2 linked regions of the Saccharomyces cerevisiae S288C genome follow. The gene in region 1 interacts genetically with each later gene. Each region holds a gene or a part of one and is shown in the gene's direction. Other genes may lie near its edges.

Region 1 (4,603 bases):
AGGGTGATTGTGGATATCACACCGGTCCTCAAGAAAATCGAAAACAAAAGGATAATCGGACTTATCTGGTGATCGAAGAAACTGCATTTCAGGTCGTTTAATAAACTGCTAGCTATTGATATTATATATATAAATAAACCTACAATCAGGTTAGTGTATTCATCTCACTTCTATAGCGTTGTGAAAGGGAAATGGAAATAGTGCAATCTCAATAAATCTGCTTACGTGACATTTTTTACTAAAAGAGAATATGAAAACTGATAGATTACTGATTAACGCTTCCCCGGAGACATGTACCAAGGGAGATGCTGAGATGGATACTATGGATACTATTGACAGAATGACATCAGTTAAAGTTTTAGCGGAAGGCAAGGTATTAAGCAACTTCGAAGAACCGGGCTTAATGAGGTGCGGTTATCATGATGCAAAAAACTGGGTCAGAAGATTATCGAGCGAAACAATTGTCGGTGAGGACACGAGTAATTTATACCCATTTTATGTTGATACTGCATACGATGTAAGGCGTTTGAGAAAGGATCTTATAAATGCTAAGGTTGACTTGCAGGTTGAAAACCTGATAATAATCTGCAATATTAATGATATTTCCACTGTATTTCTCATGAGAGAAGTGGTGGAATGGATCTTACGCAATTTCCATTCAATAACTGTATATGTACAAGATATTTTTAAAAAGTCAACTCAGTTTGCTGTTGGTGACCTCTGCAAAGACAGCAATTGCAGTAAAAACAGAGTAAAGTATTGGTCAAAAGAATTTGTTAAAAAACACGATTCATTCTTTGACTTGATGATTACACTAGGGGGTGATGGAACTGTCCTTTTTGCTTCATCTATATTCACGAAAGATGTTCCGCCGATTGTTCCATTTGCCCTTGGATCATTAGGATTTCTAACAAATTTTGAATTTCAAAATTTCAAAGAAACGTTGAAACATATCTTAACAGATGAGGTTCGTATTAATTTACGAATGAGGTTGCAATGCAAACTCTACCGTAGAAATAAACCAGAAATTGATGCCGCAACTGGGAGAAAAATATGTTACATCGATTTCATCTCCGAACATCACGTATTGAACGAAGTAACCATAGATAGAGGTCCAGCTCCTTGTTTATCCCTATTAGAACTCTATGGAAACGACTCACTAATGACTAAGGTTCAGGGAGATGGATTGATTGTTGCCACGCCTACGGGATCCACGGCATACTCATTGAGTGCAGGAGGCTCTTTAATATCGCCAAGCGTAAATGCCATAGCGGTGACGCCTATATGTCCTCATACTTTGAGCTTTAGGCCTATAATTTTACCAGATAGCATGGAATTAAAAGTTAGAGTAGATATGAACTCAAGAGGGACGTCGTGGGTGAATTTTGACGGAAAAGATAGAGTTGAATTGAAACAGGGTGACTATGTTGTGATAACTGCAAGCCCCTATTCGGTACCGACTATCGAGTCATCTGCCAGTGAATTTTTTGAAAGTATCAGTAAAAATCTTAATTGGAATGACCGCGAAGAGCAGAAGCCATTTGCACATATTCTCTCGCCAAAAAATCAAGAAAAATATAGATTAGACTCATCGAAAAATGGAAACGACACCATAAGTAATCCCCTCGAGAGTTCATGCATAAGCTCAGATGCACAAGATGAGGAGAGGAAATCCGTAACGGAAACAGAAACAGAAATAGTTGTTGAACGGACTCGTCAGGCTCATTTTGCAATCTAACGATTTCCCACATCCTGCGTTTCCGTAGTCAAGGGTTCATAATGGATGATGAGCCTGTAAACAGCTTTGTATTTACCTCTTTTACTTCAAGAATGCTCTTGCGTCGTTTGCAGTGTCGAAGAAGATCCAGTAGAGCTATACAAAATGGAGAAATGAAACAGTTGAACCAGAGCGCCGCATTTGGCAGGTAGTTTCGCTAAATTTCCTCATGCGCGTTTGTAATTATGCTAGTTAACCATATGATAAGGTTGCCTAACTTGCAGTCACCGGAAGGTTATTTCCGGAATGGTGCAGAATAATTTTTAAAATAGTAGCATATATTTCGTTCCAATTCCCAAATAGGGAATTATAATTATGACAGATAAATTCCCGATTAGGAAGAAGCGCGAAAATTCTTGAAAAACTTTTTTCAACCTCGAAGAAAATCGTCGTCCTTCGAAGATTTAGTGGGAATCTTCAAGGTGGATAGTTTCCAAATTAAAACTGCAGAAGAGGCTTTTAAAACATGCCTGAGGTATAAAAAGAACAACATTCCTGGTGATTATGGTTTCTGTTGGACCCTGTTCCCTTTGTAAAACTTCTATTTATTGTCCTGCAAATAAGCTAATTATATAATTAATAATGGCAATCGTTAATAGTTGGCTAATTTGTTTAGTCAGTATTTTTTCCTTCGTGGTACGTGTAGAGGCCGCTACATTTTGCAATGCAACTCAAGCATGTCCCGAAGATAAACCATGTTGCTCACAATATGGTGAATGTGGTACTGGTCAATATTGTCTGAACAACTGTGATGTAAGATATTCGTTTAGTCATGATTCATGTATGCCTGTACCTATCTGCAAGAGTTCATCCACTAAATTCAAAGATTATTCCTCTAAGTTGGGGAATGCTAACACTTTCTTAGGAAATGTTAGTGAGGCTGATTGGTTGTATACTGGTGACGTTTTGGATTATGATGATGAAGAAAGTTTAATTTTGGCGATGCCCAAGAACAGTGGTGGTACCGTTCTTTCCTCCACGAGGGCTGTTTGGTATGGTAAGGTCAGTGCTAGAATAAAGACGTCACATCTTGCTGGTGTGGTCACTGGGTTCATTCTGTATTCCGGCGCAGGTGATGAACTTGATTACGAATTCGTCGGTGCTGATCTAGAAACTGCTCAAACCAATTTCTATTGGGAAAGTGTTTTGAACTACACGAATTCTGCCAATATTTCCACTACTGATACATTTGAAAACTACCATACTTACGAATTAGATTGGCACGAAGATTATGTAACATGGTCCATCGATGGTGTCGTCGGTAGAACCTTGTACAAGAACGAAACTTATAACGCCACCACCCAAAAATATCAATACCCACAAACCCCATCCAAGGTGGATATTTCCATTTGGCCAGGTGGTAATTCTACCAACGCTCCAGGAACCATTGCATGGTCTGGTGGTGAAATTAATTGGGACGCATCCGATATCAGCAACCCAGGATATTATTATGCTATTGTCAATGAAGTTAATATCACATGTTATGATCCACCAAGCGATACCAAGAAGAATGGTACTTCTGCTTATGTGTATACTTCGTCCAGTGAATTTTTGGCCAAAGACATTGCTATTACCGATGATGAGGTCATGATGGACAGTGATGAGGGATCTGGCTTGGACCCACATAAGGGAGCTACCACATCTTCCACCCAAAAGAGTTCTTCCTCAACTGCAACCTCTTCCTCCAAAACGTCATCCGATCACAGCAGTTCAACTAAGAAGAGTAGTAAGACTAGTTCCACCGCTTCATCATCATCATCATCATCTTCTTCTTCTTCTTCTTCTTCCTCTACTGCTACTAAGAACGGAGATAAAGTCGTATCCTCCGTATCCTCTTCCGTCACTTCCCAAACTCAAACAACATCTTCTGTAAGCGGAAGCGCCTCCAGCAGTACAAGCTCAATGAGCGGTAATAACGCAGGTGCCAACGTAGCGGCAAACTGGCGTTTGACTGTTTTATGTGTCATCCTAGGTTATGTCTTATAGGAGGATCTGCATCTAAGAACAAATAGGCTACACAGGACTCTCAAAAAAAAATGTATTAATAAATAAAAGAACTTAAATATAGACTTTTTATTCGCATGCATATAAAAATAATTAATTAATAAATAACTGTAAAAAACTAGAATAATAAAAGTAATAAATATCTCCTCCGACGACATAGCCTATTTGGCAGCCTTTGTCATATAAGTAATTAAATCGTTTCTGTCCTTTTCCTTCTTCAACCCGGCAAACGCCATCTTGGTACCAGGAATATATTTCTTTGGGTTCGTCAAGTACTCGGACATACTATCCTCATCCCATTTGACGTTCTTGTTGATGTTTGCATCTGTGTAAGAATAACCCTTTACCTGACCTGAATGTCTACCAAAAATACCATGTAAATTAGGTCCAACTTTGTTAGGACCACCCTCTTCTATTGTATGACACTGCTGACACCTCGTTTTAAACAATGTAGCACCCTTTTTTGCAGAGCCTGGTTTGAATCCCGTACTTTCTTTAGCCATGTTTTGTTTATGATGTAATGTAGTTTACTGAAGTTTACTTAAAGTAATGTGAATAAATGCTTGTATGTGATCTTCTTGTATAAGTCTTTGATTTTGTTTCAACCTCAACAAAAAGAGAACTATTCTGATCTAATCTTCTCGAGCTTCACAACACGATATATATATATGTTGTGTGCCTTTGTCTTTGCCCCTTGCGGCCACTTATAGTAGTTGGAACTTGAATAAATGCCCTCGCTATTATCGCTATTAGCTTTGAGAAGGTGGGAAAAGACCCCTCGGCGGGGGACTGCAGACCCTTCTCAGAGAAGGCACGAAGGAA
Region 2 (6,960 bases), on another chromosome or scaffold:
AGAAGCAGCTGAAGAGGATTCAGAAGCAGAAGAGGAGGCAGCTGAAGAGGATTCAGAAGCAGAAGAAGAAGCAGCTGAAGAGGATTCAGAAGCAGAAGAAGCGTCTGAGGAAGCAGTGGCAGATTCGGAACCAGATTCGGAAACGGTTTGACCTAAGGAGGTAATACTGATACCCGCGCTTTGTAAAGCAGCGATGATTTCAGGTTCCAGTCTAGAAGAGTACCAAGGCACTTGAACCATGGCAGTGGTGATTTGAGCAAAGTCCATTTCGGTGAAATAACTGGTGTAGGAATCATCAGTAGCAGTGGTCATATGTTGGTAAACATCCAAAACACCAGATGGTAGGGTAAAGTCTGGATTATTCATTGCCAAGGACATATATTGTTCCAAATTGGCCTTGACATCAGCCAAAATAGCGTCAAATTCGACGATTTCATATTGTCCAACTTCAGCAGAAACCAATTGAGTGGAGGCAGCGGCAACAGCTAATAAGGCAGCGATTTTAGTGAAAGACATTGTTGTGTGTGGGCGGTTGAACAATTGGATCTGGGGAACACTAAAAAGAAAAAATCAAACAACCAGCAAGAAAATCTGCAGTAGAGAAAGGAAGAGGAGACGAAACGCTTATACTCTCCACCAAAGAATATATGTATATATATATTCATATGTACGTATACTGCCTTCTCAGACGGAAATCTGCAATCCATTCTAGGGCCTTCTAAAAAAAAGCCTACAGAAATCATGGTAAACAGGAACAATGGGTCGCCTTAAGGCACGCATATCTAAGAAACGTGTGCAGAAGCGGTAGGGTACACGTTCCTATCGTTCCATTTGGAGTCTACACACGTTTCCAACCTCTGCCTTCAGTCACAGTTTCTGAGTAACCTCGCTTACAAAAGAAATTTTTTTTCCCGCAAGGCGAAGTACGCCTCGTATAAGGCCAATGTCTCGTATGGGTGATGTAGGGCAGAAGCCAATGTCTCGTTCAAATGAAATAATGAGCTAATTAGGCTCCAAGTTTTACCACCTATCTGACGATTCTCTCTCTGCGTATAAGAAAAATGTTGAAAAAGCAACATTTTGCGCCAGGAAAAAAGCCCAATCATGGAAGTGGTGCAATACACATTCCAACTTACACACCGAGATTCTCCTGTCGTTATATTTCCACTTTGACGCCCCTTTATGCATCTTACTAATATTAGCTGTTCGAAGTACAGCTTACCTAGGCACATGTACTTTATCTCTCGAATTTTCCTGCTCAGTTTCTCCTACTCAAGTCTCTCCTAGTCTCTAAGGGAAGGCACCGTCTAGGACAGTGCCGGGCATCCTTTATGCAAGGGATATCCCCCCGCAGCCTTCTCCGTCCGTTTTCGTTTAGGCACTTCGCACAGAATTCACCGCAGAGAAGCGCCACATAGACGGCCACTTTTGTTTCCTACAACTTCCACTCTATCGTTTGGGGCCCGTGCCTTCGACTTTTACTCCATTGTGCTGCGGTTTTTGTTTGGCCTCGAACTTTTCCTGTCTGCGGATCTCCTGGTTTGGAAACAAGCTTTCCTCCATAGGCAAAATGGATACTACGGTACGAAGTATTTTCCGCAGATCCTGCTCTCACCTATATAAAACAACATACAACATCGTAAAGCTCTCTGCTCTTTTAGCTATTAATAGTATTATCACACACTTAAACCCTTTTCTCATTAGTTCGTAAACGGGTTGGTAAAAAGAACTTGCATACTGTAGCAAAAAAATTCACAACTAAACACGATAGAGTAAAATTAGAGAAGCAACGCCTCGCGGATGTCTCTTTCCAAATATTTTAATCCAATTCCTGACGCTTCAGTCACCTTTGATGGGGCTACCGTTCAATTGGAAGAATCCCTCGGTGCTGTTCAGAACGATGAAGAGTCCGCATCGGAATTCAAAAACGTAGGCCATTTAGAAATTAGTGATATCACTTTTCGTGCTAATGAAGGTGAAGTCGTCTTAGTACTGGGAAACCCAACATCAGCGCTCTTCAAAGGTCTATTCCATGGTCACAAGCATCTGAAATACTCGCCTGAAGGGTCTATTAGATTCAAAGACAATGAGTACAAACAGTTTGCTTCCAAATGCCCCCATCAGATCATTTATAATAACGAACAAGATATTCACTTCCCGTATCTGACGGTGGAGCAAACCATTGATTTTGCGTTGAGTTGTAAGTTTCACATTCCCAAGCAAGAGCGTATTGAAATGAGAGACGAGTTATTAAAAGAGTTCGGACTGTCGCACGTAAAGAAGACGTATGTGGGTAATGACTACGTTCGTGGTGTTTCTGGAGGTGAAAGGAAACGTATCTCCATTATAGAAACGTTTATTGCCAATGGGTCTGTTTACTTATGGGACAACTCGACGAAGGGTTTGGACTCTGCCACCGCCCTAGAATTTCTTTCCATTACCCAAAAGATGGCAAAAGCTACAAGATCGGTGAATTTTGTTAAAATTTCTCAAGCAAGCGACAAAATTGTCAGCAAGTTTGACAAGATTCTTATGTTAGGTGATTCCTTCCAGGTGTTTTACGGAACCATGGAGGAGTGTTTAACCCATTTTCATGACACCTTACAGATAAAAAAAAACCCTAACGATTGTATTATTGAATATTTAACATCAATCTTAAATTTTAAGTTCAAGGAAACGTCTAATTCCATTGTTGGTCTTGACACTCCATCTGTTGTTTCTGAAGAAAATCAAGCTTTAAACATCAATAATGAAACAGATTTGCATACATTATGGATTCAGTCTCCATACTATAAACACTGGAAGGCCATCACTTCAAAAACAGTGCAAGAATGCACCAGAAAAGATGTTAATCCGGATGATATCTCCCCCATTTTTAGTATTCCGCTAAAGACGCAACTGAAAACGTGCACTGTAAGAGCTTTCGAAAGAATCATTGGTGACAGAAACTACTTGATTTCTCAATTTGTTTCTGTTGTGGTGCAGTCTTTGGTTATTGGGTCCCTTTTTTATAACATTCCCCTGACAACAATTGGTTCGTTTTCTAGAGGATCTTTAACTTTCTTTTCCATCCTATTCTTTACATTTCTTTCTCTCGCCGACATGCCTGCTTCCTTTCAAAGGCAACCCGTCGTTCGTAAACATGTCCAGCTCCATTTTTATTATAATTGGGTGGAAACTTTAGCAACAAATTTTTTCGATTGCTGCTCTAAATTTATACTGGTGGTTATTTTTACAATCATACTTTACTTTTTGGCCCATTTACAGTACAATGCAGCTAGGTTTTTCATCTTTTTGCTTTTCCTTTCCGTCTATAATTTTTGCATGGTGTCACTATTTGCATTAACTGCTTTGATCGCTCCAACTCTATCAATGGCAAACCTATTGGCCGGTATCTTACTGTTAGCCATTGCCATGTACGCGTCCTATGTTATTTATATGAAAGATATGCATCCATGGTTCATATGGATTGCATATTTGAATCCTGCTATGTTTGCCATGGAAGCCATTTTGAGTAACGAATTGTTTAACCTGAAACTAGACTGTCATGAAAGTATTATTCCCAGAGGTGAATATTATGACAATATTTCATTCAGTCATAAAGCTTGTGCCTGGCAAGGCGCTACCCTAGGTAACGATTACGTCAGAGGCCGTGATTATTTAAAAAGTGGATTGAAATACACTTACCATCACGTGTGGAGAAATTTCGGTATTATCATTGGGTTTCTGTGTTTCTTCCTATTTTGCTCTTTACTAGCAGCGGAATATATCACGCCTCTGTTTACTAGAGAAAATTTATTGCGCTGGAATAACTATCTCAAAAGATACTGTCCCTTTCTGAATAGCCAAAAAAAGAATAATAAAAGCGCTATTACCAACAACGATGGCGTATGTACTCCCAAGACCCCGATAGCCAATTTTTCCACTTCATCCTCTTCTGTTCCATCAGTCTCGCATCAATACGATACTGATTACAATATTAAACATCCAGATGAAACTGTTAACAATCATACTAAGGAATCCGTAGCTATGGAAACGCAAAAGCACGTCATCTCCTGGAAAAATATCAATTATACCATTGGAGACAAAAAATTGATCAACGACGCTTCTGGATATATAAGTTCCGGATTAACTGCCCTAATGGGTGAATCTGGTGCTGGTAAGACAACTTTGTTGAATGTCTTGTCTCAAAGGACCGAAAGCGGGGTTGTTACCGGTGAATTATTAATCGATGGACAGCCCTTAACGAATATTGATGCATTCAGAAGAAGTATAGGGTTCGTTCAACAGCAAGATGTTCATTTAGAGCTCTTAACTGTGAGAGAGTCTTTGGAAATTTCCTGCGTCCTAAGAGGTGATGGGGATAGAGACTATTTAGGAGTTGTTAGCAACCTATTAAGATTGCCTTCGGAAAAACTGGTTGCTGATTTATCTCCAACTCAAAGAAAATTATTATCTATTGGTGTTGAATTGGTCACTAAGCCTTCTCTGTTGTTATTCCTAGATGAACCTACTTCAGGGCTAGACGCCGAAGCAGCTTTAACCATCGTGCAATTTCTGAAAAAGCTTTCGATGCAAGGTCAGGCTATCTTATGTACTATTCATCAGCCTAGCAAAAGTGTCATCAGCTATTTTGATAACATCTATTTACTAAAAAGAGGTGGTGAGTGTGTCTATTTTGGTTCATTACCTAATGCCTGTGACTATTTTGTAGCTCACGATAGACGCCTAACATTTGACAGAGAAATGGATAATCCGGCTGATTTCGTTATTGACGTTGTTGGTAGCGGAAGTACAAATATTCCAATGGATGATGCAGAGAAGCCAACCTCAAGCAAAATTGATGAGCCAGTATCTTACCATAAGCAATCTGATTCAATTAACTGGGCAGAACTCTGGCAATCCTCTCCAGAAAAAGTGCGGGTTGCTGATGATTTGCTTTTATTAGAAGAAGAAGCCCGGAAATCTGGTGTTGATTTCACTACGTCCGTATGGAGTCCGCCTTCGTATATGGAACAAATAAAGTTAATCACAAAGAGACAGTACATTTGTACCAAGAGAGACATGACCTATGTTTTCGCTAAATATGCTTTGAATGCTGGCGCTGGACTATTCATTGGATTTTCATTTTGGAGGACAAAGCATAATATCAACGGTCTGCAAGATGCTATTTTCTTGTGCTTCATGATGCTTTGTGTTTCCTCCCCTTTGATCAATCAGGTTCAAGATAAGGCTTTGCAATCTAAAGAAGTATATATCGCCAGGGAAGCGAGATCTAATACTTATCATTGGACCGTTCTTTTGATTGCTCAAACTATTGTTGAATTACCATTAGCCATTTCCAGTTCTACCTTATTTTTCCTGTGTTGCTACTTCTGTTGCGGTTTCGAAACCTCTGCCCGTGTAGCTGGTGTCTTTTACTTGAATTATATTTTATTTTCCATGTATTATTTGTCATTTGGGTTGTGGCTTCTATATTCTGCCCCCGATTTACAAACTGCCGCTGTCTTTGTTGCCTTCCTCTATAGTTTCACAGCTTCATTCTGTGGCGTTATGCAACCATACTCGTTATTCCCAAGATTTTGGACATTCATGTACAGGGTTTCACCATACACGTATTTCATTGAAACTTTCGTAAGCTTACTTCTCCATGACAGAGAAGTAAACTGCTCGACAAGTGAAATGGTACCAAGCCAACCTGTAATGGGTCAAACCTGCGGTCAGTTTATGAAACCCTTTATTGATGAATTTGGTGGGAAACTGCACATCAATAACACATACACCGTCTGCGCCTACTGCATGTACACTGTTGGGGATGACTTCCTTGCTCAAGAAAATATGAGTTATCATCACAGATGGAGAAATTTTGGTTTTGAATGGGTTTTCGTTTGCTTTAACATTGCCGCCATGTTTGTGGGCTTCTACCTAACCTACATCAAAAAAATTTGGCCTTCTGTGATTGATGGTATAAAGAAGTGTATCCCATCAATGAGGCGGTCCAAAACATCTCATAATCCAAACGAACAAAGCGTATAATCAGTGAATAGCGTTCCGTTAGAAAACATTCAAAATTACCTAATACTATTCAACAGTTCTTGTTCCTCATCCGGCTGCCTTCTGCTTTAAACTAATTGTTAATTTATTCCCAAATCATATTCTAAATTAATCTATAATCATTTTTCGGATTATATATGCTCCATACTTAATAAATATTAATACTCTCATTTCCTTTTCACTTTTTTTTTTCTCAATTAGCATTCCAGGTTCGAGAAATATCATTGATATATCGTAATTCCTTTTCAGTAAACGTGATTAGACGACCTTCGTCAAGTTCAGAGTTTGTGTGTCCGTCACCCGTAGCATATGCACAATACATATAATTAGAACATTCCTTGATTTGCATCCATGGATGAACAGAAACGTCAGGAACGATTAGTCCCTCTACGTTCAACGAAGCATCATATATCCTTTTTAATTTTGAAATGTCCCCATATCTACTCTTAAAATACTCTGGCTCTCTTCCAAAGTCATCTTCAGCACTGTTCGAAATTTTACAAGTCTTCAGTCCACCGTTTACCCATAGTAATCGATTTTTGGAGTCACTGTGTGCAATCTGCGTAGAACAAATGTAGTACATCCCGCTTTTATGTCCGTCATCATTTTCAGGCTCTTCATTAACAGGTCCAATAATACTGCCATCAACGGGATTGATAGAATAATCCTGGCCAGCATATAATTGCCCCAACCAGAATATTTCCTTGTCACCATACACACACCTCTGCAATTTTCCATCCAAATTTAACATAAAAGACATCAACAATCCATTTAATTTCTCAAGTTTATTGACTACAACCAAACCACTATCAACATGATGGAGTCGTAATTTTTTGAAAAAATTGTAATACACAGATGCTTCTTCTGAGGTTTCGGAAGAAAACGGTAATGACGAATCAAAAACTA

What was found. Genes that interact genetically often act in the same process or in processes that back each other up.
Region 2: mutations in UTR2 (region 1) and PDR11 together harm fitness more than expected from each alone (negative genetic interaction), as found in Saccharomyces cerevisiae (2 studies listed by BioGRID).

Annotation. Positions count from the first base shown.
Region 1 is NC_001137.3:75,694-80,296, forward strand, and holds UTR2 (chitin transglycosylase UTR2), read left to right. Parts: upstream 1-2,359; coding exon 2,360-3,763; downstream 3,764-4,603. Other genes in the region: YEF1 (NADH/NAD(+) kinase), read left to right, coding at 251-1,738; CYC7 (cytochrome c), read right to left, coding at 3,943-4,284. UniProt on the Saccharomyces cerevisiae protein: Dual chitinase/transglycosylase that plays a role in cell wall architecture. Chitinase and transglycosylase activities are coupled. Required for the polysaccharide cross-linking at the septa and the cell wall.
Region 2 is NC_001141.2:327,283-334,242, reverse strand, and holds PDR11 (ATP-binding cassette multidrug transporter PDR11), read left to right. Parts: upstream 1-1,800; coding exon 1,801-6,036; downstream 6,037-6,960. Other genes in the region: TIR3 (Tir3p), read right to left, coding at 1-516; YIL012W (uncharacterized protein), read right to left, coding at 891-1,232; alpha-1,3-mannosyltransferase MNT3, read right to left, coding at 6,248-6,960. UniProt on the Saccharomyces cerevisiae protein: Transporter involved in the uptake of sterol.